Linked DNA regions of Pelodiscus sinensis. The protein of the gene in region 2 interacts with the protein of the main gene of each other region in a pairwise test. Links are inferred from orthologs where the notes say so. Each region holds a gene or a part of one and is shown on either strand. Other genes may lie near its edges.

The links.
Region 1: the proteins of GEM (region 2) and KCTD9 interact in binary tests that used the Homo sapiens proteins (3 or more experiments, as listed by UniProt). The two-hybrid records come from large-scale screens. The link is inferred for Pelodiscus sinensis from reciprocal best matches to the Homo sapiens genes GEM and KCTD9.
Region 3: the proteins of GEM (region 2) and AHCYL1 interact in binary tests that used the Homo sapiens proteins (3 or more experiments, as listed by UniProt). The two-hybrid records come from large-scale screens. The link is inferred for Pelodiscus sinensis from reciprocal best matches to the Homo sapiens genes GEM and AHCYL1.

Annotation. Positions count from the first base shown.
Region 1 is NC_134738.1:9,381,483-9,391,811, forward strand, and holds the start of KCTD9 (BTB/POZ domain-containing protein KCTD9), read left to right. Parts: upstream 1-6,082; 5' UTR 6,083-6,276; coding exon 6,277-6,324; intron 6,325-10,329. Other genes in the region: CDCA2 (cell division cycle-associated protein 2), read right to left, coding at 1,634-1,761, 3,171-3,711. UniProt on the Homo sapiens protein: Substrate-specific adapter of a BCR (BTB-CUL3-RBX1) E3 ubiquitin-protein ligase complex, which mediates the ubiquitination of target proteins, leading to their degradation by the proteasome.
Region 2 is NC_134712.1:40,656,800-40,666,520, forward strand, and holds the start of GEM (GTP-binding protein GEM), read left to right. Parts: upstream 1-5,072; 5' UTR 5,073-5,223; intron 5,224-7,022; 5' UTR 7,023-7,031; coding exon 7,032-7,362; intron 7,363-9,721. UniProt on the Homo sapiens protein: Could be a regulatory protein, possibly participating in receptor-mediated signal transduction at the plasma membrane. Has guanine nucleotide-binding activity but undetectable intrinsic GTPase activity.
Region 3 is NW_027465886.1:177,742-187,608, forward strand, and holds the start of AHCYL1 (S-adenosylhomocysteine hydrolase-like protein 1), read right to left. Parts: upstream 4,368-9,867; 5' UTR 4,254-4,367; coding exon 4,146-4,253; intron 1-4,145. UniProt on the Homo sapiens protein: Multifaceted cellular regulator which coordinates several essential cellular functions including regulation of epithelial HCO3(-) and fluid secretion, mRNA processing and DNA replication.

The DNA.
Region 1 (10,329 bases), on a different chromosome or scaffold from region 2:
CCCGCTCAGCATAGTGATGTTAAAATGCCGTTACACATTTACACACCAGGGAAGCAGGGTGCGAGGAGAGGAAAGGGGGGGGGGAGGACAGGCAGCAGCACAGGTAAAGGGGAAGAAGGCAATTTTGTGGGAGTTGGTATAAGCAGGGAGCAGCAGTACAAGCTGGGAATTGCTTTTACTCATGAGGGTTAATTGATGAGCCCAGGCTTATCAGTTAACCATGCCTGGGGTACACGTTCACATTCCTAGCCTGGCCAGAGCAGCTCCTGTTGACAGCAGGCCTGGACAAGGTGTGACATGGGTAGGGGTGCTCCAGCCCAGCCCAAGTAGCTCTTGCCCACACCCCCTTTAATTACATTTAACCAGTTGACCAACTGGACAGGATTTTACAACCCAAATTTGCTCTAAACGAAACTTTTAAGTAGCCATCGTCTAACGTCTTCCTCTAAGATTTTTTAAAAGGAGATTTCTTAACATTATTTGAGCAACAAATATACATGGAAATAGCTAGCATACACCTGGGGTGGGGCATGGGAGAACAGGGGAAAATGAAGCGGGGTTAATATTTTTTAAAGCGTAGCTTTACCTTCACAATCTCTTAAGATAACTCTTTCCCAACATATAATAATCTGCATTACTAAATTGGCCTCAACTTTAGCTCCCCACAATTCTTAGTAGGAAAAAAATGTTAAGTTTCACAAATAAATCCATTGTTATTTCTATTTTTGTTTTCTTCCTTCATTACCTTCTCTTTCCTTCAGTCCAGGTTAGGCCTGGACTACCCTACATTGCTAGGTTAACATAAGGCATTTTATGACAATCCAATTATGTCAGTGTACACACGATAGCCTTGTTCCCACCAATGTAAGTACCTTACTACCCTGACATAAGCCTCTCATGGAGGTGGAGTTATGTTGATGTACTATGGACAATGCAGTGTCTGCACAGATATTGCAGTCTTTATATCAGCTGTTTGCTGTCTGTCAATTTCAGTTCTACAGAAGCCATGAAATTCACAAGAAAGCCTGGCCCCTGGCTCCCCAAGCTGCCCCCCACAAGCCAACCAGTCGCCCAGGATACCTGCTGCTGCCATACCCTGACTGTATTGAAGCTCCTACCTAGTTGGAAGCCCAGCTGTCCCCAACCCTTGGCTCTCTACTGGGAGCACAGCAAGACTCTGGGTATGGTGTGAGTTTTCACACCAGAGCCAGAAGCCCCAAGTGGCTTCTCCTCTGCTCCCAGCTGGAAGATGAGGCATGGGGCATAGGTGGGCTCCAGCAGGGAGCTGTGGAAAGTTGAGAGCTCTGGCTCTCAGCCCTCCCTCCCCACAGTTCCTCTTCAATCTGTGGAAGCACTCATTGAGAGGACACACATGACTGATAGGTGGGTAGTATGGAGATCAGCCACCACAGTAATTATTTTAGTGACTAAGTCGCCCTAAACATAGGTTAACTAAGATGGTAGAATAAACATGCTCTAAGTGTAATTTTCTTAACATTCAAAATCTCAACTAAAAAAAGCTTGGCTACAAAAGTAAAATAGAGAACACTGTTCCATTCATTCCAGATACCACAAATACATGAAGCTAATTTTCTCCGCTAGCCATGCTGCGCAACTCTGAAAAAATTCCCACCGTTTTGAATGGGTCTTCAGTTCTCCTCATCTTTTGCTTGGCAAGATATTGAATAAGGCTATTATTTTCAGGGGAACCCCGTACTCCAATTGTAGATCTGCGCTTAAGTTTTAAAGCCATGGATTTCTCTGAAACAAGAACAATGCAAGAAAAAGCACAATGAAACTTCAGGAGAACACTTACAAGTATTTAAAAATACCAGGGAAATTGCTTCTATTTAAAAAAATGTAGGCATTATATAAAGTCTTGTATTTGGTCAGTTGTCTTCATTAGAAGAAAAAATAAAAACTGCAAGCATTTGAAATCTTGATAGTGTATTACATAACTCACAGGAACAATCAAAAGACTGTTAGAGAAGGAAAACTCCACAACAATTTTGTGGAAGAGGTGAAAGAAGGTCGTGTGTGCGCACGTGCGTCCACCCACCCTCTCTCTCTCACGGAAAGCATAGAACAGTTTCTTTGCTTTGTGTGTATCCAGAAATCAGGCACAGTACTGGTATACAGAAAGGGAAAACAAGAAAAGGTCTTTACAGAAAGTAAAAACAAAAAAGCTCAAAAGGAAAAACTCTTTCATATCAACTCTTGGGTATCCCCTTCCTTGACAGCATGAATGTTCCTTCACTCAACACTTCTCCACAGTACAAGAACCAGAAGATAGAAAGTTAATGCTGTATGACCAACATAAACTTTCATGAGAAGTTCTGCTAGAATTCCCAGGTTTGGGGCTGTGAGTGGGCGAGAATAGTGCCATGCAAAACTACCCTCCCTCAGCTTCCTTGCATCAGAAAAGCCAAAACAAAATAAAAACCCACATTCCTAATTTGAAGTCTAACACTGTTTCCATGGGAGAACTATATTGACAGTTCCTAGATCGGTTTGAAAACATGTTTAGCAACCTATTTAACATCCTCCTTTGCTCTCTTTTGTGCCCTTAAACAGGAACAGTAGAAAATGATGATGTAAACATCACTACAATATACATAAAAAGTATTGCTGTGAAACAATCATGGTGTAATTATCAAGGTGTAAATTTACTGTCATTTGGACATCAGGAAGAAACCCTGTCTACCTACTGATCGTGAAATCTCACACTTAGTTTTACTTATGAAGAGCCTATGCCACTGACAGAAATAGCCAAATTTGGCTATAAAAGAATGTAGGAGGAAGAAAGCTCTGTTACCTTTTCAAAATTCCTTCCATCTGATCCTATTCCCATGAATAGGCTTAACAGAGCTCTAGGAAGTCATAGTATTTCCCCTCTCCCCAAGAAAACACATGTTTAATAGCAAATTACTCTATACACCAGCTATAATGAATGTTGGACAATTCTTCACAATTTCCATCTCCTGTACTATTTCCAAATCACTACTTATAAAACCTATATCTGTGTTATCAGAAATTGTCCCAAATGCCCTGAAATCTTCTGGACCACCATTCACAACCACCATTAAATATTTAAGAGAATGTTCTCATTCACAAATGAACCACAGTATTTTGAAACATTCATTCCAAGAGTCACTTTGCTAACCCCTTACCTATAGATGGCTTAGCAGTAAAAGACTCTGGAGTAATCCCAAATTCAGCTATAGTTACACTTGCAAAATCAACAGGTGTCTTCATTACATTCTCTGATGTTTCACAATCTGGTTTTACATCTGCTTCACCTTTATCAGGTGTCACATAGCTTGCATCATCCAAGAATGTAGGGCTGCCTTTTGAAAAAGGACTTTGAGGTTTGTGTGCTGTCAAAAAGGACAAGGAAGGTTGAAGTAAGTTTCCCTTTAGTTTAAAAGAAAGGCTTTTGTTTACTGCCAGTTTACTATCATCCTTGCTGTTCTGATATGATTTTCTCCTTATGTATTCGTTGCATTTTACTCCAGGTTTAAATACATGTGTAGATCTCAGGTCATTTAAATTTTCAATTTCTGAAAGGTATGAGCTTTTTGATTCATCCATTTTGACAAACTTGTCTTTTGGAATGGGCAGAGAATAAACCTTCTCTTCTTCAATAAGTCCTTTCAAATTTTCTTTGACATCAGCAACAGTATTTATAATTTGTCTAGATTTTCTGCGCATTGTCAGTGCTGTTTTCTGAGCTTAAAAAAATATGACCAGTCTTGTTGCTCTCTTGTAATCATGCGTCTGTCATTAAGACGTCGTCATTATGTTTTTTTGTAAAAGCAATCACCATAACATGCAGACATCAAGCCATTAGAAGATACTGCTGCCATTCTATGGAGAGAAGCATGAAATGTTAGCTATGAAGTTTACTGTAAATATCAGATCTTATATGCATAACATTCTGACGTATGTTGATGTCTATATTAAACACAAAAACCATCTAAGCTAATTCAACATTACGGTGGAGATTTCCAAATCACCACCTCACGAAATCTAATACCACCATCTACATGTTTTGCTAGTCTATAAAGTGCTACCATATCATTTGTTGTTTTTTTAAAAATGCACAAGCCAGTACTCACTTTCATTAAAGAAATATCCAGCTTCTGAGATAATGATCATCTAGAGCACAACAGGATAAATCAGTTTGTTCATTTAAATAAAAAGATGTTATCTAAGTATGGCAAATAGGATAGTGAAAAGTTAAACAGAAATTCATGCCCAAAATTCAAAGCAGTATAAGCACAAGTCTTGCACCTGAGCATCACAATGCTTAACTAAGTGTGTCAGGCTGTGACAAAATGTTATTAAAAGAACATTGTAACAACATGATGCTGCAGGTTTATTCAATATCAAAGTGGGCCTTCCTGCTTTGAAAAGCTCAACACCAGTTGGCAGATGGAACAGAGTATTAAGAGTAAGTTGATCCTTTAAAATAACAGGTGTTTTAAGAAGGGGGAAAAGCCTGTTATACCATGCTGTGCATGTGGCATTGTTTGACATATATGAATGGGAGGCCCAGGTTATCTACTTTTAGTTGTTTCATTGTTCCCTTTATCATACTAAAATGTGACCATAGATTGGGAGCACTTGGTGGTACAGAAAGCCTGTCATTCAACTGGGCAACAAGGTGAAATGGAGAGTGAGGGCAATGGGTAGAAAAGAAGACGGGAAATTTTGTTGGGCAAGCATGCCGAGTCACAGCTGCTGCTCACTGCTGCACATTCTTGACCCCCATCCAAGGGGATGCAGCTTGAAGGGAGGGGGGGGGCGCGCACAAAGAGAAAAGGGAGCATATTCCACATATTCTCAAGGGGATCACAGGGGCATGTAGCACATGACAAAAAGAAACCCGGTAACAGGGGCCAACACAGCTCCAGGAGGGGCAGCAGAGAAGAGCCCCTGTGCCCAAGGGTCTATCAAGCAATATCCACCCAGCCAGCAACTTCCTCCCTCCCCAGCCCATTCTCCAACCAGTTGTTTCCATGGGCATTTCCTCAACTCCTATCATACCTGCCCCCCTCATTAGCCTCCCCCACCCCCGCTCCCCCTCATTAGCCTCCCCCACCCCCGCTCCCCCTCATTAGCCTCCCCCACCCCCGCCCCCCCTCATTAGCCTCCCTCACCCCCGTTATCTGCTCCCCCTCATTAGCCTCCCCCACCCCCGCCCCCCCTCATTAGCCTCCCCCACCCCATTATCTGCTCCCCTCATTAGCCTCCCCCACCCCCGCTCCCCCTCATTAGCCTCCCCCGCCCCCTGCCCCCCTCATTAGCCTCCCTCACCCCCGTTATCTGCTCCCCCTCATTAGCCTCCCCCACCCCCGCCCCCCCTCATTAGCCTCCCCCACCCCATTATCTGCTCCCCTCATTAGCCTCCCCCACCCCACCCCCGCCCCCCCTCAGCCTCCCCCGCCCCCGCCCCCTGCCCCCCTCATTAGCCTCCCCCGCCCCCCACCCCCCTCATTAGCCTCCCCCGCCCCCTGCCCCCCTCATTAGCCTCCCCCGCCCCTCCCCCTGCTTCCGCTCCCCCCTCACCCCCAGCGGCTCCTGGATCCCGAACGATCCGACTGAGGAAACTCCACTAGGCTAGACGCGCCTCTAACATTCAAACTCACTGCCTCCTCCATGCACGTGCGTATCCCTCCGCAGGCTGGGCCAGCGCTGAGGCGCCTCCCCTGCTAGCCCCACCAATCTGCGCATGTGCCATCCGCCTCATGGAAGGGGCAAAGAAGAAGGCTGTCGCTGGCAGACTTAGGTGCTCAGTCTCTGCCGGCGGCTCAGCGACACGGGACTCTTTTCCCTGCAGCGAGTCCCGGCAGCGCGCAGGGAACAGAGCTTCGTCGCGATTGGAGAGTTCTTAGTTTTGAAATAGAGCCCATCAAACGGCCGGTCCTTCCCTCACGTGACATACACGAGCCAATCAGAAGGCGGGGAGTGAGTCGACCCCCCTTTTATGCAAATACGCCTCATGCCATTTGGCCGTGAAGGGTGACGCCCTACTCTTTTCAAGCTGCCTGACTGTAAGAGTTCTGATTGGCTACAACCGAGACCCCGCCCCCCCCCGAGGCAGACCGCCCCCTGTCAATTCTCCCTGCCTAACCTCCACACACCTGCACCAATGAACGTCCCTCCCACCTCTGCATTCTATTGGGCAAGAGGAGGGGGAAGTGCGGCTCTGGTTGGGTCCCGGCCTTGTCAGTCACCGCTGCTGGTTTCCGGGTTTAGAAGCATCGTAGGAGCATGAGGCGGGTCACCCTGTTCGTCAATGGCACCCCCAAGAATGGGAAGGTGAGGGGGCAAGGGGCTCTGAGGAGAAGAGGGCGGGGGGACTCCGGAGCTTGCATGGTGGGGGAGGACGTTTTGGGGGGGGCATGGGGACCCTGAGAAGAGGTGGGGGAGGGGAACTAATAGGGGGGGTGCGCGAGGGAGAGGAGACGTTGGAAGCGGGAGGGAATGCGAGGGGGGGTTAAGGTGGGGGAGGAGCCTAGTTAGGGGCGGGGTTTGAGGGGTAGGTGTTGAGGGGGAGGAGCCTAGTTAGGGGCGGGGTTTGAGGGGGAGGTGTTGAGGGGGAGGAGCCTAGTTAGGGGCGGGGTTTGAGGGGGAGGTGTTGAGGGGGAGGAGCCTAGTTAGGGGCGGGGTTTGAGGGGGAGGTGTTGAGGGGGAGGAGCCTAGTTAGGGGCGGGGTTTGAGGGGGAGGAGCCTAGTTAGGGGCGGGGTTTGAGGGGTAGGTGTTGAGGGGGAGTTAAGGCGGGGGAGGGGCTTAGTTAGGGGCGGGGTTTGAGGGGGAGGAGTTGAGGGGGAGGAGCCTAGTTAGGGGCGGGGTTTGAGTGGTAGGTGTTGAGGGGGAGTTAAGGTGGGGGAGGGGCTTAGTTGGGGCGGAGTTTGAGGGGTAGGTTTTGAGGGGGAGTTCAGATGGGGGAGGGGCTTAGGTAGGGAATGGGGTTTGAAGGGTACTTTGGGTGAGGACATGGAGGGAAGGCAGTGTAGCTCTCAGGAGGAGCAGGACTTGGGGGGCACGGGGAAAGAATGCCCCTGGTGCCCTGTTGGTAGGTGAATGCTAAGGTCTCGGTCTGTGTATCTTTGTGGGTGTCGCAGGTTTGTGGATGGGAATTATTGCCTGTGAATCACAGTGTAAATCCTTGGGGGGAGAGGAGGTTGTGGTTGTTCTTGCAGGTTGTGTTAATTTGGCTGGGGTAGTGGGTAGATATTGTAAATCTTGCTGCTGCAACTCACACCGTTCTCTGGTGTAATGTAAGTACGGGCTGTAGAAAAATACAGGATTTTTTTTTAAACATTACAAAACGTGGGTTTTTAAAAAATATGTAACTTTTTTTTTTAATGCGTAGCAGCCTCTGTCTGCTGGGAGCTTGGACTCCCCACAAACAGGGGCCATTGCCAACACATGCTACTGCCTTTCTATCAGAAGCTCCTCTCGTGGACTGGCTCCCGCATGCCACCCCGCTCTGCTGCCCCTGGTAGCTGAGAGTGTTGGTGGCATAGGGTTTGAGGAGTCAGTATAATCTGATAGTCCTGCTGTAAGTGTGCCAACTTGAGAGAATTCTGTAGTCAGCATGCACAGAACAGATTATGAACAGGAGGCTACCAGACAACTCACCAGCACCAGCTTCTACAGGCTTCTCTCCTATGATTCCACTAAACACCAAAAAGAACTAAACCACCTGCTCATTAAACTTCCTGATACAACTCAGGACCAGATTTACACAAACACACTCACAAACACCAACCAGAAGCTTTATATCTGCTACCCAAGATCCACAGACCTGGGAAACGCATCATTACAGGACAGTCACATTTTCATCACCTTATAGCGGAAACCTACCGACTGTTATAATTACCTGCATGCCTCTAGCTTCCATTCAACACACATTTCTCAGTCAGTTGTGTGACGGGGTGCGGTCACAGATGACCCCTTGGGGTTGCCTCCCAGGGTGCTGACACCGCCACTGCCACTGTCCTTCCTTCTCTCTGGGGCTCCTCACTGTCTGGTCTGGCTGGGCCAGTTCCGTTGGTCTCCCCCAGCCAAGGCCCTGAGCTGAGATCCCTGCCCCCACGAAGAAGCAGTACAGACACTGAACCACTCCAGGTCCTAGGAGAGTGCAGTTTAGAACCCAGCCTCCTGAGAGAGCACTCCCCAGATGGGATCAAACCCCAAAGAATTAGGTAAGCCCCCTTTAGCAATGAAAGGGGGAATGTGCACACTGGTTGCCTCCCCAGGTAACAATCGCTTACACTGGGTTTGATAGAAGATAAACATGGTTTTATTAAGTTGAAGCAGTAGGATTTAAGTAGTAATAAGAGAAAGTAGGTAGAGCAAAGTAGGTTACAAATAATCAAAAGAAACAAAACCGCTTGGCTAATTCTCCACTGAAACCTCAGTGCAAACTTAAACTCACCCTAAAATCTCTTTTCCAGCTGCCACTCTAAACCAGGGTTCTCTTCCCCAGCCTGGGGTCTCAGGCTCCTTCCTTCAGGTGCAGCTCAGCCAAAAGATCCAGGCCTCTGCTTTCCTATTCCTTTTGTTAAGGAGTTGAGGCCACTCCCTACCAGCCACTGCTCAGACTTAAGGATAAAAGATTGTTTAACAGTGGCTCATCTAGAATTTGCAGGTAACGCCCTCCATGTCTCCCATTCACACATTTGAAACTCACCAAGTATTCCCCACTCCTTGTGTCGAATTTTGTACACACAAATGACACATACAACAGAGTAAGATAAACAGAACCAGCAGATCATGACATGAAGATCAATAGGTTACATGAAATAATTCGCTCAAACCACCTTTGAGTTATGTATATGCATGTCCAAGAGTCCACTTTGTAAAGCATGGGGGAAGGGTCTGTCACTTAAAACTTAAATACTAACCTGGAGAAGTGGAAAAAACGGATTGACCGAGCCAGACGAGTACCCAGGCATCAGCTTCTGCAAGATAGGCCCAACAAAAAAAGCAATAGAACACAACTGGTCATTACCTAAAGCCTCCAACTTAAACTCCTACAGTGCATTATTATCAATCTGCAACCTATCCTGAAAAATGACCCCTCACTCTCACAGGCCTTGGGGGCATGCCAATCCTCACCTACAGACAATTCTTTCCCGTAACCACATAGTTCACCATCATATTCACCCAGGAACCCACCTCTGTGATCAACTCTGGTGCCAACTCTGTCCACACATCTATACAAGCGGCATCATCACAGGACGTAACCACATCAGCCACCACTTCAGAGGCTCATACAACTGTACATCCATCAATGGGATCTATGCCATCAAGTGCCAGCATTGTCTCTCTGCCATGTATATTGGCCATACTAGACAGTGTCTATAACAAAGGATTAATGGACACAGAGCAGATATTAGAAATGGTAACACACACAAACCTGTTGGGGAACATTTCCACATCCCCGGGCACTCACTAATGGATCCATAAATGTCTGTACTATTTCAAAGCAATTTCAAAAGTCCCCTAGAGAGAGAAACTACAAAACATGGGTTTCATTTACAAGTTTGACACCTTGAATATAGGTTTAAACAAAGACCTGGTCTGTATGGGCCGCTACTTTCCACATCCTAGAAAAACTTAATGTTAACACATTTCTGAGACCGGATGGCATTCATCCAAGGGTTCTAAAAGAACTCAAATGGGAAATTGTTGAACTATTATCTGTGGTTTGTAACCTATCCTTTAAATCGGCTTCCGTACCTAATGACTGGAAGGTAGCCAATGTGACACCAATATTTAAAAAGGGCTCTAGAGGTGATCCTGGCAATTACAGACCGGTAAGTCTAACTTCAGTACCGGACAAATAAGTCAAAACAATAGTAAATAATAAAATTGAGAGGCATGTAGAAGAACATAATTTATTGGACAAAAGTCAACATGGTTTCTGTAAAGGGAAATCATGTCTTACTAATCTATTAGAGTTCTTTGAAGGGGTTAACAAACATTCGGACAAGGGGGATCCAGTAGATATAGTATACTTAGATTTTCAGAAAGCCTTTGACAAGGTCCCTCACCAAAGGCTTTTGTGTAAATTACATGGCCATGGGATAAGAGGGAAGGTCCTTTCTTGGATTGAGAACTGGTTAAAAGACAGAAAACAAAGGGTAGGAATAAATGGTGAATTTTCAGAATGGAGAGGGGTAATTAGTGGTGTCCCCCAAGGGTGAGTCCTGGGACCAATGCCTCTTCTTGCGTCTACACTGCCCTTTCTTGCGCAAGAAAAACCCTCTTGCGTGATGCCGTTACACCTATTACTTTTCAGGAAGAACGGC
Region 2 (9,721 bases):
AATGAACGGAATTTAAAGCATTAATCTACTGAATACTTTCTCCCCTGTATAACTGTTCACCAACATAAACACTGATTTACCCAGAAAAATTAATTGTTTTTTGCATTTATTTTCACCTGGTTTTGTTGTTGCGATAATAAACACTAATAAATTCCAATGAAAAATTAAATAAAATATGAACTGAGAACGAAAGCCCTAAGTATAACAGCTCCTTGGCCGAAGGTTTCTGTCATCTAAGTAACATGATCATGTATGTGACTCTCTTCTCATCAGTTGTTAGCTGTTCAGTGACTTTTGGGTTGCAAAACTACTGACTGCCTGGGACATCAAGAGGGCAAAGCAGTCAAGATCACATGGCCTTGCAAAAGTCCATTGGCTCATATTTGGAAATCTACGCATGTAGTAGGATTTGATTAGTATGTTTAACTAGTTATCCCTCTTGCTCTGTTTTGTGTCTGTGTAACTACAGTATGTGTATGTGGCACATTGCCTCTACTTTCACACAATTAAAAATAGTGAGATCCAGATTCTGCCACCCTTCTTTACATAGGATTGCACTGCTGAGATCACAGAAGTTGCTTGAGAAATGAAGTTTTACTTCACATGTATAAAGGTGGCAGAATCTAGCCTAGAATGAGAAACAAAAGGGTTAAGTGTCACATCAGAAACAGTGGTAAATAGGCTCTTAAAAGGGAAAAAAAGCCAAAAGGAAAAATGTGCGTGCAAGTTTCCCAAATACCAGCGTCACATACTGGGTTAGGGTGGTCCTTACAGACAGTTTTATGGAAGAGATGTACTGCCTGGTCACTCCAGAGCGGTGTTTTCTTCTTCCACCCTAAAAAGACCATTGACTGTTATGAAAAATATATGCCCAAGTGTGGGTTTAACACTAACCTTAATGATATCTGAATGCTTTAGTGTCTCTGAGTTTATTTCTACATATAGTGCTACCGTCTGTGCTTTTCAGTATTATCTATTTACAATTTTCCAGTGAATCCATCATCGCCTCTGACTTTGCTTGATCAGTCTGGGCATAAACCCTTTCATTCCTGTGGCAGAGAAAAGTTGTTTTCACATTTAGAACTACAAATGATAATAATTTACAATGAGCCAAATGAACATGCGCTACAGAACAGGGCACTCCAGGCACTTAGCCAGCTGCATAACCTCTGGATAGTTCCACAGCCACCAGCAAGATGAAAAGTGAAGCCAAATGAATAGGCCTGCCAAAGAACTGGTGTCCTTTCTGTAAAATCTGAGCATGGTATGACAGACTCCCCCCCTCCCTCCCCAAGCTTTATGAAATGGACTTATGGACATGAATATACATAACTCAATGGTGCTTTAAGTGAATTATTTTGTGTAACCCATCAATCTTCATGTCATGATCTGCTGGTTCTATTTATCTTACTTTGATGTGTGTGTAACCCCCTTTTTCCTCCCCGGGTTACTGGGGAGCAGGTCACACTCACAGGTGTGCCTGGGCGCCTGGTGTTTTAACCCAAAAGAGATCCTGAGCACCCCAGTGGTGATGGTGTCTAGTTGGGGAAAGCCCTATCCACCCCCTTACTGCAGTCCCTTGCTGGCAATGAATGTAAAATGGCAGTGCCTCCACCTGGCTGGCCTTGAACACACACTGGTGTGCCTTGAGAGCCTCCAGGAATATACTCATTCCAACATACATCTGGATCTAATTCCAGAACAACTACAAATCATTTATATCTAATAGAACACTTTAAAATAAACAATCTTTACTTAATTTGAATAAACAGGGATTAAAAGATTAGCAATGAATAGCATTAACAAACACATATCAATAATTGAAGCTTATATAGCTAGACAACAGTGACCCCACCCCAGAGTGTGCACACCCCTAGACTCAGTCCCAGACACGTGCTTGCGTTGGCGCGCTGATGTTGCAGCTGTAGTGAGGATTTGGTCCAGGCTAAACAGCAGCTCTGTTCCAGGCAGCACTTTTCCAACAAGGCCCAAACTTACTGCCTCATGCTGTGCCTATAGGAGGCAGCCTGCTAACTCCCAGTTCCAACAGGCATCCAGTAGCTGCACTCCAACAGCCCTTGCACTGGGTCAATGTCCTTGGCAGCAGCCTGGCTCCCCCTCTGGTTCCAAACTCCAAGGCAAAGTCCCAGACTGATAGGCCTCTTTCTTCAAGCACATGGGAGAGAGCAGTCCTCTCTCCCACCAGAGTCCTCCCTTCCTGTTTTTTTTTCCAAGGGCTCATGGGAATTGTAGTCTGGATTGTAGCACACAGGGTCTTTTCAGAATAAAACAGGCCCTTTTAGTAAGGGGACTACATGTGTATCATTTTTTTTAGTGTAAAATTGGGGAGCGGGGAATACTTTGTGGATTTTAAATGTGTGAATAAGAGACAAGGAGGGTGTTACCCAACTGTTAAACAATCTCTTTTGTCCTTAAGGCTGAGCAGGGGTTAGTTGGAGTGGCCTCAATTCTTTAACAAAAAGAAGAGGAAAGCAGAGGCCTTGGTCTTTTGGCTGGGCTGCACCTGAAGGAAAGCAACCGAAGACCCCAGAGTGAAGAGACAGCCCTGGTTTGGAGCGCAGCTGGAAAAGAGGCTTTAGGGTGAGTTTGAGTAAATCTGTATTGAGGTTTCAGTGTAGAATTAGCCAAGTGTTTTTGTTTCTTTTGATTTGTAACCTACTTTGCGCTGCCTGTTCTCTCTTATTACCACTTAAATCCTACTGCTTCTATGTAACAAAATCATTTTTATTTTCTATCAAACCCAGTGTAAATAATCATTACCTGGGGGGGGGGGGCAACTAGGGTGTACATTCCCCCTTTCTTTGTTAAAGGTGGCTTACCCTTATCTAATTCTTTGGGGTTTGATCCCATCTGGGGAGCGACATCCCAGGAAGCTGGGCACTAAACCGCACTCTCCTTGGACCTGAAGAGGTTCCGTGTCTGTACTGCTTCTCGGTGGGGGCAGGGACCCCAGCTCGGGGTCTTGTCTGGGGGAGACCAGCAGAGCTGGCCTAGCAGGACCAGGTGGTGAGGAGCCCCAGAGAGCGGGAAGTCAAATGGGTGAGTGACAGTGGCCGTGTCAGCACCCCGGGAGTCACCCCCGAAGGGTCGTCTGTAACCGCACTCCGTCACACATGGCCTTTGGGGCATGAAGCTGTTCTTCCAACAAGAGAATAGTCAATTCTGTATGATAGGACTTTGCAGTGCTATGCAAACCAGTATTCATAGCGATTCCCTATGGCCATAGACCAAACGGCTGCTTCTTATGGTATAAGCTTCTTATTGATATTTAACCTTAATATTGCAAACACAGGACTGGCTGGTGATTCAGTCATCCTGGAAAGCTAGTTGATACTCCAAGTTGTGATGAAGCTCTGTGTTTGTCATGCAACTTTGCATTCGGAGACATGAGCAGGTGAAAATAAGGGCTTATTCTGCTTCTCCAATTCTTGCCAAGTTTGAGTGACTTCCATTGCCTTTATAGGAGAATATTATTTTGGAGAATGTTTTTGTCTTTATATGTTGGAAAAGGAGCACAGAAAGGATCCCTGCCAAAAGAAAAAATTAACGTGTTTCTGTCGAAGAGTTTTGTAAATTCCATCTTTTCTTAGCACTATAGTTCAATGGTAGCGGGTCATTACCTAGAACACAGCTATTCCTGATTTACAGCAGTGAATCATGCTGCCCACAAAGACATTGTGTCCGTGTTCAGAAATGGATTTGAGTTCATCTGTTCAGATTTCTTTAGTTTTTTATTAGTAAAAATGTTATATGACTTTATAAAACACTTGGAGACAGTATACACTGTTGGTAAGGGATCTTCCTTGGATATGTCTACACTGCATTCCTCCTTCGAGAGAGGAATGCAAATGCAGCTGAGCGAAATTGCAAATGAAGCACAGATTTGAATTTCTTGTGATTCATTTGCATAATCGCGTCTGGGCACTATTTTGAAATAACCTATTTCGAAAAAAAAACACTGTCTAAACATGGTTATTTTGAAAGAAAACCCTCCTTTCAAAATTACCCTTAAACATCATTTTATATGGAGTACGGGTAATTTTGAAAGAAGGGTTTTCTTTCTAAATAACCGCATCTAGACAGCGTTTCTTTTTTTGAAATAGGGTATTTCGAAATAGTGCCTGGATGTGATTATGCAAATGAAGCATGGGAAATTAAAATCCGCGCTTCATTTGCAATTTTGCTCAGCTGCATTTGCATTCCTCTCTCGAAAGAGGACTGCAGGGTAAACATACTTGTCTCTATCAATTAAAATTTTCCATTCATCCTTAAAACTATCAGGACAGGAGTGTGATAATGCAGTGCTTTCTCTGGCAAAACGCCTTACAGCTAATGAGGCTTAAAAGAGTAAAGATTTAAGGACCAAGCGCGTATTTTGTAACACACAATATAGTTTTTGAAAACTATGCAGCCTTGTGCTGCTTCTCTTTTATGAGACTATAACACCTTTGAGATCAGTGGAATTCCATTAGCGCCAAACTGGAATAACACCACAGCGAATAAGATTCTGTGCATCCAAAACACATGTAAACATGAGCAAACTGTTCAGTGGCTTATAGGTTGTAAAGAAAGTGAAAAATGGGATCTTGTGCATTCATCAGTCTTATACTGAAAAATAGAACAAAATTCCTAATTTTCAGGTATTTATAAATTCTTGACCTATGACCACATACAGGCGTTAAGAGGTTCCAGGATGGTGCCCCTTCCATTTTGTAACTGGATAATGAAATATATTTGTCGCACTTGAGACATTAGAACAGCACAAGCAATTCTTTAGCCATCACTGATTTCAAGAGCACTTGCATGCAGAGCTGAAAGACACGTGTTATGAAATAAGAATTTATTGCATTTTTCCACTCTCCTGTTTCCCCCTGCAAAAAGACAAAAGGTTTACTGGCATCATTAACGAAGAAAAGAATCATATGACTGCAAGTAAGGGATTTTGTTAGTGTTACTGTAAGGTTTTGCTTCTCTGTATGCCTGCTTCCTCCCAGCTGGGGGCTGGCTTTCGTGTGGACAGGCCAACGACGTCACGGAAAAGCCCTGTCTCTGATCAGATGGTCTTAATATAAACCGGGTCTGCTGAGAAGGAATTAGAGAGGCAGCCACTCAACAGGAGAGGAATTATTCCAGCAGACCAGTTCAATATATCACACTCCACTGACCAAAGGAGCTGACTGTGTTTGGAAGAAACTGTGCAAAGTAAGGTAGTGCTGGCTGAAAAGTGTTAGTTTGAATGTATTGCTTTTGTGAAGGGAAATGATGGTAATAAGTAGATAAATGAAATGTGGCATGTGAATTTGGAATTGAATGTATTACAGTAAGTTCTAAAGTTTTGCTTAGCATGGAAATTCCTTAAGAAGGCACTACTAGCAAAGTAGACTGTTTATTATTTAACCAAATCAAAGTTAACATTTCTTATTCTGTCTTTTTGACAGTCAAAATAGATACTTGAAAGTGAAAATATTTGATTTTGTTTGTGAAACGGTGTTTCTTTGGTGCCTCCTCTCCAGCTAAATTCATTTCTTGCTGGCAAAAGTTTATGTGAACTATGGAATACACATGCACTTATTTTGCAACAAATGCTATAATTACAGATAGGAAAATGGCATAGGTGACAAGTTGTAGAGCAGAGGCAATATGCTCGGTAAAGGCAGCTATTCAAATTCCAGGTACAGTTTGCTGTTTTTCAGCACATTTGTTTGACCGGCTCTGTACTGTCTCTAAAACGTTTTCAGTGGTTGCTTAAGTTAGAAAAAATAATTGCTAGTGTGCTATTTGAGGAGATGGGGCACTTCTTGCAAACACAAATGAGGAATAAAGTTTGAAAACGGTCTGTGATGTTTTAATAGCAGACGCTCTCTTTGTTAATATGCAGAAGAGAACGGAGAACCATCAGAGTTACTCCTACAAAAGCAAAATGTATAAATAACTGTCACCTTGGGAGCTGGAGAGCATCAAAGTAACTTTCCTAAAAATGGTAGCTGTGGGACCACTAGGAATGACATCATAATATTCTGCCTCCAACCAAGGCAAAATACATTCAAAAGTCAAATATAATTAAAAGCCATGTTTAGACAAGAGGAGCTAACCTGGCTAGTTGCTCCTCAGTCAAATTAAGTTGTTTATTTAAAGACTGCAAATTTGAGCTATTTTCTCCCTGTAATTTCTACTCTAGTGGCATGATCAGGTACATACGCTGGGATCCCATTAGACCTCATTCTGCTCTCTTACACCAATTTGATACCAGCTTAATTCCACTGTGTTCCTTTTTTTTTTTTACACTGATATAGCTGAGAGCAAAATCAAGCCCACTATACCAAGACTTGTTGCTGTGGTTCTGCACTATATGTGCATTGTTTAATGTTTGTAGCTCTCAAAACAGAGTCAACTCTCAGTTGAGACTAAGCATGATACTTTGCAGGCAAAGAATGATTTCTTGTTTAACAAAGTGCGAGCGGACTCCGCTGGACTTTACATGCATATGCAGTGATGGGGAGGGTGCAACAAACATTCGCTCCATTGCTTAATCTGTGTAAGGGACAGGCACAACTGCATTCGCTGTAGTTCTCCCTCTGCACACCCCTAGAGTTTCACAGCGCCCCAGAATGGGCAGGGACGAGCTCACCGGGAATTACGTGCTCTTTGAAAGGACACAGCAGCGTGCACCGCCCCCCTCCTACTCACATGATGGGCTGCTAGGAAAGGCAGTCTGCCTTCGATGGTACCCTTCAGGGCAGTGCAGCTCCACACCATCCCCAAAATAGTGCTTAACATTCACAACTCAGGGGAGTCAAACATATAGGTTAGTATGTAATGCTGATTTCAACCTGAATCCTAAAGCCATGACGATGGCTTGCTAATTAGAAACGTTAGAGGCAAATGAAAGAGGCAACCATTCTAATTCTTCTTTTGTCTGCACACCAGGTGTTTTATTTAAACATGGTGACCATTGCTAATTTTGGGGGTCTAACATTTGCAACTTCGCTATTTTTTACTAGGTAAAAACCATGACTCTGAATAACGTCACCATGCGTCACAGCAGCAGTGTGCTGCATGCGCAACAGCAACGCTGGAGCATCCCTGCCGATGGACGACACCTGACTGTCCACAAGGACCCCCATGAGTACTACATGCGCAAGAGATACACTATGAACCCCGAAGATTATTACCGAAGGAGTTGGTCATCAGAGTCTTCTGATTCGGTCATTTCCTCTGAGTCCGGGAGTCCCTACTACAGGGTGGTATTGATTGGGGAGCATGGAGTGGGAAAATCTACCTTGGCCAATATCTTTGCAGGCGTACATGACAGTATGGACAGTGACTGCGATGTGCTAGGAGGTAGGTCATTACATTCTGTATAGTCTATGTTTTCTTAAAGCCTTTCTTGTCAATAGTCATCAGTAATAACACAGAAAACTACTGAGGTTGTTTAATCTGGCAGCCCTGAAACTGAGATGATACACACTTGGCCCTTATTTTCAAAGCTGATTCCAGTATATCCTGTATAAAAATTAGGGGCTATGAAAACACAAAAAACCCTCACTGACAAAGACTTACCTCTGCTGAAATACAGAGGAAAATATAGCATCTGAGCCTTTTGAAGTCTGATTAATTCTTAACTGTGCTGTAAATGCATCAGATCCTAAATTAGGGTATGTCTACACTACAGAGTTAGTTCGAACTAACGGACGTTAGTTCGAACTAACTTTCATAGGCGCTACACTAGCGCTCCGCTAGTTCGAACTTAATTCGAACTAGCGGAGCGCTTAGTTCGAACTAGGAAAACCTCATTTTAGGAGGATTAAGCCTAGTTCGAACTAGCTAGTTTGAATTAAGGGGTGTGTAGCCCCTTAATTCGAACTAGTGGGAGCCTAGCCCTCCCCAGGTTTCCCTGGTGGCCACTCTGGCCAACAACAGGGAAACTCTATTGCCCCCTCCCGGCCCCGGACCCCTTAAAGGGGCACGGGCTGGCTACAGTGCCCGTGCCAGGTGCAAGCCTGCCAGCACCCAGCCAGCAGACCCTGCACCTGGCACGGCTCGAGCCACCCACCCGATGCCCCCCAGCCCTCTTCCTCTTCCCGGGACCAGGCTGGCGGCTCTCGGGAGCTTGCCCGGGACCACAAGAGGCGGGCACCCGCCTGGGCTAGTGCGGACATCGTGGACCTTGTCCACGATCTCCGCACTAGGCACAGGAAAGTGGCGGTCTAGGGCAGGAGAGCTGCCAGCCTGGCCACCCAGGAGCAGGTGTGCATGAAAATCAAGGGGGTCCACTGAGACCCCGACCCTGAGCCCTGAGCTTACAATGGCCGTCCTGGGTCAGACCAAAGGTCCATCTAGCCCAGTAGCCTGTCTGCCGACAGCGGCCAACCCTAGGGACCCTGGAGGGGATGGACCGAAGACAGTGACCAAGCCATTTGTCTCGTGCCATCCCTCTCCAGCCTTCCACAAACCGTGGGCAGGGACACCACTCCTACCCTCTGGCTAATAGCACTCCATGGACCCAACCTCCATGACTTGATCTCACTTCCCTTTCAACTCTGTTCTAGTTGTAGCCTTCACAGCCTCCTGCAGCAAGGAGTTCCACAGGTTGACTCTTTGCTTTGTGAAGAAGAACTTTCTGTTACTAGTTTGAAGCCTGCTACCCATTCCTTTCCTTTGGTGTCCTCTAGTCCTTCTTTATGGGAACTAAAGAAGAACTTTTCTGTATGCACCCTCTCCACCCAACTCCTGCTTTTAGAGACCTCTATCCTGTCCCCCCTCCGTCTGATTCTTTTCTAAGCTGAAAAGTCCCAGTCTCTTTAGCCTCTCTTCATATGGGACCTGTTCCCAACCCCTGATCATTGTAGTTGCCCTCCCCTCTCCCAGCCTCTCTCTTCCCCCTCCCACCTCCTTTTCCCAGTCTCCCCCAGTTTTGTTCAATAAAGACAGATTCCATTTTTGACCACAATTGTCCTTTATTTTGTACATCAAGAAAAGGGGCTAGGGAAGGGTAAGTGGAAGGAGGTGAGGGAGGAATGGGGTACGAGCCCCCGATGGGGAGGACTGGGCTGACTCTGTGGGCTTCTGGGGGTGGAAGCTCTCTTGCAGCCCCCCAATTGTCCCCTCTCCCCAGATGGCAGCCTGCGGCAAGTGCAGCCGGTCTGATGGCCGAGTGGTGTGATGTGCCCAGTGTGGGCACTCCGGGCACTCCAAGCCAGGACTGCTTTGCAAGCGGGGCACCCCTGAGAACTGTCTGTCCGGGGTGGGGGTCGGGTCCCTTTAAGCACAGCCCTCGGCTAGCCTGAGACAGCATCTACACGCTCTAAGTCCTCATCTGATGCCCTGCCGGCACTGCTTCCGGCCATCCTTAAGCCCGGTTCAGGGTCCACTTAATGTGGACATGCTAGTTCGAATTAGCAAAACGCTAATTCGAACTAGTTTTTAGTTCTAGACGCGTTAGTTCGAATTAGCTTAGTTCGAATTAGCGCTGTAGTGTAGACGTACCCTCAGTTTTACACTGGTGTAAGTCCAGGCTCCAGTGGATCAGGTCCTGCTCTAGCCTGATGTGAGATAATATCCTGGCCTATAAACTGCACTGCTGGCCTTGTGATATTATTGCTCTATGAGAAATCAGTGCCTACATTCATTTGGGATTTTAAAGAAACTGTTAAGAGTTACAGATCAGCAAGAGATAAGGTCGAAAACCCCCAAATCTCTG
Region 3 (9,867 bases), on a different chromosome or scaffold from region 2:
TTAGGGTATGTAACCAACAAGGATTTCCCCATCTGGCTCTTTCAGGCTGCCACAGAGGGCTCATCAAACATGAGGAGCACATCTACTTCTGCAGGAGCCCACCTTTGATCAGGGTCACTTCTTCCTAACTTTCCCTCCTGCTTCTCAAATTAGGCACTTACCCTGGGAAACTGAACATGCGCTTCTTGGCAAGCATAAACACGACTGCCCTTTGAAAAGCTAGTCTAGAATGGTCAGCACAAAGGACTAGCCAGAACCAGCACTCAAATCCTGGAGATGTTCCCATCCTCTCCCTAGGTCTGATCTTCATGCCCACCGGCCTTCAGAGAAGCTTTTGTTCAAAGCAAACTGCTGTTGGCCTCTCAGTCTCCTGGCAAATACAGGGACTCTCTCAGATTCTGCCTGAGGTGCTGAGGAAAGGTTGGGATGCCTGTGTGAAAGGAGGGCGTTTCAGAGCTGTAAAAAGGCACACAGAAATCACACCAACTTTGCACTCACGGAAATCAATACAAGCCTCGAGAAGGAAAGAGGCTTGTTAATGGTTATGATTTTGTGGAAAGTGAGATAAGCTGGAGGCACTTAGCATTGTATACTTTGGCGTTTTTGCCAACGCCTCTGCTATCAGTGCTAGTCTCAATCTCTGGTTGGGTAGTGGCCTGGAGCACTGATTCCTATTGATGGCAATGCACCTGCACCCAAGATTTCACTGGCTACTGATGTCATCAGTCTCAGAGGACATTCGCTGCATGTCCTGAAGTGCTCCCAGCAGGCCCCTGGCAGCACTGTAACCAGACAGCTGCACATCAAGCTATGAAACTGCAGCGGATTCAAGGGGCTATCATTACGGCCCACACACATAGAATCATAGAATACTAGGACTGGAAGGGACCTCGAGAGGTCATCGAGTCCAGCCCTCTGCCCTCATGATAGGATCAAGTACTGACTAGACCATCCCTGATAGACATTTATCTAACCTACTCTTAAATATCTCCACAGATGGAGATTCCACAACCTCCCTGGCAATTTATTCCAGTGTTTGACCACCCTGACAGTTAGGAACTTTTTCCTAATGTCCAACCTAAACCTCCCTTGCTGCAGTTTAAGCCCATTGCTTCTTGTTCTATCCTCAGAGGCCAAGATGAGGAAGTTTTCTCCCTCCTCCTTGTGACACCCTTTTAGATACCTGAAAACTGCTCTCATGTCCCCCCTCAATCTTTTCTTTTCTAAACTAAACAAACCCAATTCTTTCAGCCTTCCTTCATAGGTCATATTCTCTAGACCTTTAATCATTCTTGTTGCTCTTCTCTGGACCCTCTCCAATTTCTCCACATCTTTCTTGAAATGCAGTTCCCAGAACTGGACACAATACTCCAACTGAGGCCTAACCAGCGCAGAGTAGAGCGGAAGAATGTCTTCTCGCGTCTTGCTCACAGCACACCTGTTAATGCATCCTAGAATCATGTTTGCTTTTTTTCCCAACAGCATCACACTGTCGACTCCTATTTAGCTTGTGGTCCACTATAACCCCTAGATCCCTTTCTGCCGTACTCCTTCCTAGACAGTCGCTTCCCATTCTGTATATGTGAAACTGATTGTTCCTTCCTAAGTGGAGCACTTTGCATTTGTCTTAATTAAACTTCACCCTGTTTACCTCAGACCATTTCTCCAATTTGTCCAGTTACGAGCATAAGAACGGTCTGACCAAAGATCCATCTCGCCCAGCGTCCTGTCTGCCGGCAGTGGCCAGTGCCAGGTGCCCCAGAGGGAGGGAATAGAACAGGGAATCACCATGTGATCCCTCCCCTGTCTTAGAATGAGTCCTTTTAGAGCTCCTCTCACAAGAACAAGATTGAGCTAAACCCTATGCATCCTCACATTAAAGGGAGGGCTGTCCCACACTGCTCACCACCCCTGCTGTAACTGCCACCCCCACACCCCACCCCCACCATGGGATGCTTATGTGTTACAGCGTATTCATCTGTCATATCACTGCCACACTACAGCTTATGTGGGCACAAGCCTCAGGCTATACTTCCATCTCTATTGTGCAAGATTGCAAGGAGATAACACTCAAAAGAAGTGTTTGCTTTACTTCTCTCAGAAGCATGGTTACAGCTGCAGAATCACCTCTGGGGAAAAGCAGCTCTTAGCCTCTGCATTCTTCTGCTCCTTGCTCCAGGCTATATCCACTGTCTGCATAGATACCATGCACAGAAAGATCCATGGAGGGCTTGTCACTGGCAGCTGAATGCTAGTTATTCAAGATTAGGCAGAAGGGGATGTCTCAAATGCAAATGATTTAAAAGGCCTGTAGTACCTCCGCCCTCTAAAATTCCAGCACCTATGCAAACAATCAAAACTTTCTCACAGGAAGGCTTTGCATTTCCAGTGGCTGAGCACGCTAGTGTTTTTCCCATTTACTCTGTTCAAGTCCTAACACTGAGGCATGTGGCATAACCCTAGGGGAAAACATGATATTCAATACAGCCGGGATCTCCCACAGCCAGTCTAGATCCCAGAGTCCCCACTCTCTTGACACATGCAAAGTTAAGACCTGAAATTCACCATAAGTGCAACTCTACCAGTGGTGGCTACAGCAAAGAGTTTTTACCATCTTCTTGTATAATCCAACTCAGACAAAATTGAGATGATGGAGAGGTAAAAGCCTCAGTAACCAAGTCTGAGGACTCTCACCTTTGCTAGCACTGAGCAGCTGATGGGAGAATTTCAGTCATGTTCTAGGTGAAGAGACAAGAGGGGAATGCTGAGCACAGAGAGCACTCCAGGAAGCTTTAGAGCTGCATCCCCTTCAAACTTGCCATCAGATGGGCCCTTCTCTCAAAGCTGCCCTCAAATCCCTCCTCACACTGGTTGCCCACACTTGTCCACTGCACCCACAAACATACTGCTCCCGAAAATGCCTGGCTTGCTGTATTCTTGAAATATTCAGGGGATATTTAATCACATCTCCTGGGCTTCCCTACACCTTGCTGTCATGACCCAGTTCATAAGCTACTGGTACCTTCCTCCCAGCCTCAAAGCCATCCTCCAACCCACTCCCAGGTTGCCTTCCTGCTGACCCTGAGATCATAGAAGATAACTTGCCCAGTTCAAATCAAACCTACCCACCTGACTCATGACAGACACCTGTACAGGGCCATCACAATTCCCCCTCACACCCACCCTACAAAGCTTTGTGAATTGTCCTCCCTACAACTCCAGGACACTCCATCCTGCAAACAGCTTCCCCACCCACATCCTATGGGCAGCCGCTCCCCCTGCTCCCCTTCCAGTGCAACCCATGGGAGTCACAGCAGGTGGCCAGCTCCCCTATGACCTGTAATCCCCACTGCCAGGTACATGCTGCCAGTTCACAGGCCTTTACCCTCACCCACCCCTACTTGGCAGCCGGCTTGGATATGCTGCCAACAGGATCTCAAGAGCAGAAGCCCATCACCACTACCCTCTGTACCCCACCCCCGAACTGGATAGCCCTACCTGGAACCAGCCTCCCCCCACTCGCCACCCTCCCACACAGATCCTGAGCCTCCTTCCCCTTCGCCCCCACCTCCCCGAGTCCCCTTCGGCCCCTGCGGCCCCCTTCCCCACCGCCCCCCCACACTTCCCCAAACCCCCTTCCCCACCGCCCCCCCACACTTCCCCAAACCCCCTTCCCCACCGCCCCCCCCACACTTCCCCAAACCCCCTTCCCCACCGCCCCCCCCACACTTCCCCAAACCCCCTTCCCCACCGCCCCCCCCACACTTCCCCAAACCCCCTTCCCCACCGCCCCCCCCACACTTCCCCAAACCCCCTTCGGCCCCCGCGGCCCCCTTCCCCCCCGCCCCCCCACACTTCCCCAAACCCCCTTCCCCACCGCCCCCCCACACTTCCCCAAACCCCCTTCGGCCCCCGCGGCCCCCTTCCCCCCCGCCCCCCCACACTTCCCCAAACCCCCTTCCCCACCGCCCCCCCACACTTCCCCAAACCCCCTTCCCCACCGCCCCCCCACACTTCCCCAAACCCCCTTCCCCACCGCCCCCCCACACTTCCCCAAACCCCCTTCGCCCCCGCCCCCCCACACTTCCCCAAACCCCCTTCGCCCCCGCCCCCCCGCATCCCCCTTCGCCCCCCCGCCCCGGTACCTTCTTGGGCGCCTTGGTGACCGTGGCCAGGAACGAGAACTTCTCGGCGGCCTCGCTCTCCTTGGCCTGCTTCAGCTCGTCCCCGCCGGCCGGGTCGGGCAGCGACATGGTGGCGCGGGGGGGGGGGGGGGGGGGGGGGGGGGGCGCGGGGCTCAGGCAGGAGGCTCCGGCTCCGAGCGCTCTGCGGCAACGGGACTGCGGACGCCGCGCGCTCCGGCAGGGGGTGGGGCTTGCAGCGGCGCACGCCACACGTCACACGCCGAACGGATGGGGCGGGGCCTGACGTCACGCGGCACGCACGGGCCGGGAGGGGAGGCCGCACGCACAGAGGGTAGAGCTCGCGGCGGCGCCCCCTAGCGGAGGAGAGTGGGAGCGTCCCACCGCCTCCACGTGGCGTTGCAGCGGCCAGACCTAACGGGGGCGGGGGAGCACGTGGGGCTGAGCCTAGCACTGGATTTCCTGTCCCAGTGGGCACCACTTCCTCTGAGCGTTGGGGGGCTATGTGGGTTGGGGGGCTGACCAACCATGAAGAGGGGTCTCACCAAACAAAATGGCAGGTGAAATTGAGCGCTGATAAATGCAAAATAATGCACCTTGGAAAACATCTCCTTAAATGTAGGTATGAAATGGTGGGATCTGAATGACCTGGTCCCGCCCAGGAAGGGGGTCTTGGAGTCATTGTGCATGGTTCCCTGGAAACACCCCACACACTGTGCAGTGGCCGTGGGCATAGCGAAGGCTGTGTCTACATTGGCAAGATTTTGTGCAAAAGTGGTTGCTTTTGCACAAAAACTTGCCACCTGTCTACACTGGCCGCAAGTTCTTGCACAAGAACACTGACGTTCTAATGTGTGAAATCAGGGCTTCTTGCACAAGAACTCTGGCGCTCCCGCTCAGGAATAAGCCCTCTTGCGCAAGAGGGTCAGTGTAGACAAGCAACATGAATTTCTTGCACAAGAAAGCCCGATGGCTAAAATGGCTACCGGAGCTTTCTTGCGCAAAAGAGTGTCTACGCTGGCACAGATGCTTCTGTGCAAAAGCACATCTCTTGCGCAAAAGCACATGCCAGTGTAGACGCTCTCTTTCGCAAATACTTCAACGCAAAAACTCTTGCGTTAAAAGTATTTGCGCAAAATCTTGCCAATGTAGACATAGCCTAAGAGAACATTGAATCATTAAGAAAGATTAGATAACCAGACAGGAACTAGCTTGCCATGGTAAGTTGTGGTGGGCCAAAAAGAGTTAAATCCAGCCCTGGGAGAGGCTGTGGAGCAAGCAGATGTGGCAGAGAGCAGCCAATTAGGGTCCAGCATGGGCTGTATAAATAAGGGCTCCCCAAGGGAGGAAAGACTCACTCTTGAGTCAGCAGCAGGGGAGCAGGAGGGGCCTGGCTGCCAGGGAAGCTGGAGGCTTCCTGTGACAGAGCAGGCTGGGGAAAGGCAGGCAGAGCTGGGGAGCTCGGGCCTGACCTCACTCCCAGATTGCAGGGCCTTAGGCAAGGCAAGGCCTGAGGGCATTAGAGCTGCAAGGAGACAGCTAGGATAGAAGACCACAACCAAGGGCACCATTTAGGGAAGTTAGGGAAGCAGTAGCCCCCTTCCCCCCCGGCTACATCCACAGTGCAGGCGTCTTGTACAAGAACTCTTTTGCACAAGAGGTCTTGCACAAGAGTGCATCCACACTGCCATGTGCTTTTGCACAAGAGCGCCCATGGCAGTGTGGACGCTCTCTTGCGCAAGAAAGCTCTGATGGCCATTTTAGCCATAGGGGAATCTTGTGCAAGAAACCCCTGTTGCTCGTCCACACTGCCTTCTTGCACAAGAGCTCTTGCACAAGAGGGCTTATTCCTCGTGGGGAGAGGAATAACTCCTGCGCAAGAAGCCCGATGTTCTACTGTAAATTTACTTGCACAAAAATGCGCATGCAGTGTAGATGCTCCGCAAGTTTTTGCGCAAGAACAGATGTTCTTGCACAAGAAGCCTGCAGTGTAGATGTAGCCCTAATGTTTGAATCCCTGGTTTTCATTCTTGAGGCCTGCTTAAAGCTGCAGCCCCTGGTTCCAGACACAGTTCTTAAACACAACAGAGTTTGAGCCGCTTGCAGCTTTGCTTTTGGGCAAGGAGCTTGTAAAAAGAGGGAGGCTGGTGATTAAGATTAATGAAAGACTGGCCATTCAAATAATTGAAGGATCATTTAGATCATAGGTTTCCAAACTGGGGGGCGTGAAGAAATTCCAGGGGGGTGCAAGGTGACCCAGCCCCCCCGAACCTCCCCAAGAAAGACCCCGTGCTGGCATTACCTCACCCAAAGTTCATCTTTAACTGTTTGTTTTGCGCCGCAGCTTCCCGAAGTCTCCCTCCCTCCCTCCTCCCGGGGCTACAGACTCGCCCCAGAGCCACTTGGAAAAGGTGCTAATTTCCCCTGGACAATAGGGGCCACGGAGCTTGGCTTTTTGAATGATCATTGATTTAAAAGGCTCAAACGGGGGCAGACTTGCAAACAGCTACCAATTCAAACTCAGGAAGCAGCCCAGGGAATAAGTAGCACACGTGCTTCCTGAGACCCCGGACCTGGTTGCAGGACCCCCAGGTACCAGCTTAGCTGTCCTCTCTCCTCACCCAGACCCCTACAAGTACCCTGTCCCCCATCCAAACCCCCACGAGTAACCTGCCCCCCCTCCCCAAACCCCCACAAGTACCATGCCCCCCACCCAACCCCCCTGAGTACCATGCCCTACCTTCTACCTTTTCTCTCGGCTGCCATGTCTCCTCCCCTTGCTCCATCAGCTCCCCCGGTGCCTGCTGCCCCCAACCCCTCACCCTCCTCTGCTGTCCTGACTCCTGCCCTTCTCACTGCCCTCAGCCCTCCTGTGACCTGCCCCCCTCCACCAGCCCTTCTCTCCCCCTGTGCCCACTCCTCCAGTAGCCCCACTCTGTTCATGTGAGCTACCCCTCCTCATCCCCTCTCCTAACACCTCCCTCTACACACCTGCCCTGCCTCTCTCCTCTGGTGCTGGTCCCTCCCCTGCAGGTGTCTGCCCTCCTGCTCCACCCCCAGAATCTCTTGGCCCCTGCACCCTCCCTCACTGCCCCTGCCCCCTTTGCCCTCTTTTTCCCTGATACCCACCCCCTCACCACCCTCTGCCCCATTCCCCTCATGCCCCTATGCCCTCACAGATGCCTTGCTCCATCCCCGCCTTCCTCATGCCCACCCCTTCTTTTAAGCCTTCTCCCAGCACCTCCCCCTCCCCCCTCTAGCCCCCAATGCCCTTCCCCTCTCCTCTCCCAGCATCACCCTGTCCCCCCTCCCACTGACACCTCCCCTCCTGCCCTTTCCCTCGTTGTCTGCACTTGGCCCCCTGGCGTTTGTCTCTCCTGCACCCCCATCCCTTGGTGCCTTCCCCTTTCTTCTTCTTCTTCTCCTGACCTCCCCCTTCCCCTCCCTTCCTCTCAGCACAAGCCCCTTCCCCATATTTTTCCCCTCCCCACAGCCCAGCCCAGCCCAGCCCCTTCCCCTGCCCCAGGGCCAGCTCTAGGTTTTTTGCTACCCCAAGCAAAACATTTTTGGCCGCCCCCCCTTTGTTGTTGTCTTTTATACATGTTTGCATTTTGCGATGGGGTTTTCTTTGTTTGTTTTTGTTTTTGTCCCGCATTTTAGCCCTAGAAATAGCAAATAGCATTTTCATTCGGTTTTTTCCATAAAGGCAAAGGCGCTTCAAGTGAACTCCCCCTTCCACTCTCTGCTGGGTCACAGCAGCCTTTTCCCTGCCCTGTCCAGCCCCTCCCTATGGGCAAGCACCCTTCACTCCGACCCACAGGGGGAGCAGGGTGCAGGGGCAGCACAGAGCCAGAGGAGTGCAGGGAACAGTGGGGGAGTACGGGGGTGGCGCGGGGAACGGGAGGGGCAGAGGGATCGGGGTCTGGGGCAGTGCAGGGAATGGGCAGCACAGAGCTGGGGGGGCAGGGATCAGGGGGAGCAGGGTGTGGGGTGCAAGGGCGGCGCAGAGCCAAGGGGTTGCAGGGAAGAGGGAGAGCAGGGGGCCCGGGGAGTAGTGGTGGCGTGGGGAACGGGTGGCACGGAGACAAAGGGGGAATGGGGCCATAGCAGGACTGGGGCTGGCAGGGCGGGCCCTGGCTGCGCTGTGTGCCGTGCGCCGCAGCCAGCTCCCAGGGACACGCGGCCAGAGCCAAGCTACCGTGGCTCTTTAAAATCAGCGGGGCCACGTCACACCAGCGTCCTGGCGTCCCGCCCCGCCCCCTCGCGCTGGAGCTACACGCAGGCAGCCCGGTGGCAAGAATCGCTGCACTTCCCCCTTCCCAGCAGCGCTGTGCTCCTCCACCGGCCAGTGCAGGCTTCGGCCAGCCCATCACAACAGCCCACCAGGCCAGTCCACCCCTGCACTCGCCAGCTGGTAAAATCTACTCATTGCAGGCAAGCAGATTGCATTATTTGTCAAGCCCTCTCTCTCTCTCTATATATACACCCTTTCGAAGTATAGGGGAACCAGTTTGGTTGGTGGGGAGGCCAAAGGACAATGTAGAAGGAAATGAAACTTTTTCAAACTTTCTAGCATGCTTGCGGGACTGTTCTATCGTGGGAGTAAATTAATGGAGATGCCTATCTCCTAGAGCTGGAAGAGGCCTTGAAAGGTCATTGAGTCCAGTCCCTTGCCTTCACAGCAGGATCATGTACCATCCCTGACAAACTTTTGCCCCAAATGGCCTCCACAAGGATTGAACTCACAGCCCTGGGTTTAGCAGGCCAATGCTCAAACCACTGAGCTATCCCTCTTGCTTGGTTACTGGTGGTGGGGTATATATAAGATAGTACGCGTCCGTACGTAATAGTAGTAGTAAATAAATGTTTGCAATAACTTATCAAAGTAACTTGTGTCCATTAAATTTATTCTAATTGGGAACATTATTTTTATAGTTTGTTTTAAATTAATATATTATGGCTGCGATTAAGAAAAGGAAGTATGATGAAGTCTACATGAAATATGTCTTCACTGTCATGGGGGAAAAAAAGATCCATCATTCTCCATGTGTAGAATGCCACACAGTTCTTAGCAATGACGCCTTGAGACCTAGTTGTCTTGAGCAACACTTGGCGAAGAACCACAGCACTTTGACAGACAAACCAAAAGAGTTTTTTGCTGCTAAACTTCAAAATTTGAAATGCAAAGCTGGACACTATTGGAGCTTTTCATCAACCATCGGCCAAAGAAGTAGAAGCTTCTTATGAACTGTCATTGCTCATCGCTAAAGCCAAGAAAGCGCACGTAATCGGAGAAACGCTTGTGAAGCCTTGCTTGTTGAAAGCTGCTGATATTGTGCTTGGTGTCAAAAGCAAGAAAAAACTATTGGAAATTTCACTTTCTAACAATTCCTTGAAACGTCTCATCGATGAGCTGGCGAAAGTTCTTTAAACTTCAAGTTGTGGAGGCAGTGTTGGCTTCTTCTTTTGCAATTCAGTGCAACGATACCACTGATGTAGCACAATGTTGTCAGTTGCTTGTCTACGTTCAATTCATTAATAATGGAACTGTGAAAGAAGAACCGCTTTTTTCGAAGGAATTGATGACCACATCAAAGGCTTCTGATATTATGAAAACGATTTCCGACTTTTTTGAAGAAAATAGACTTTCATGGGGAAAACTGGTTGATGTATGCCCAGACAGTGCTCCAGCAATGCTTGGCTCTCACTCTGGATTTGTAACGCT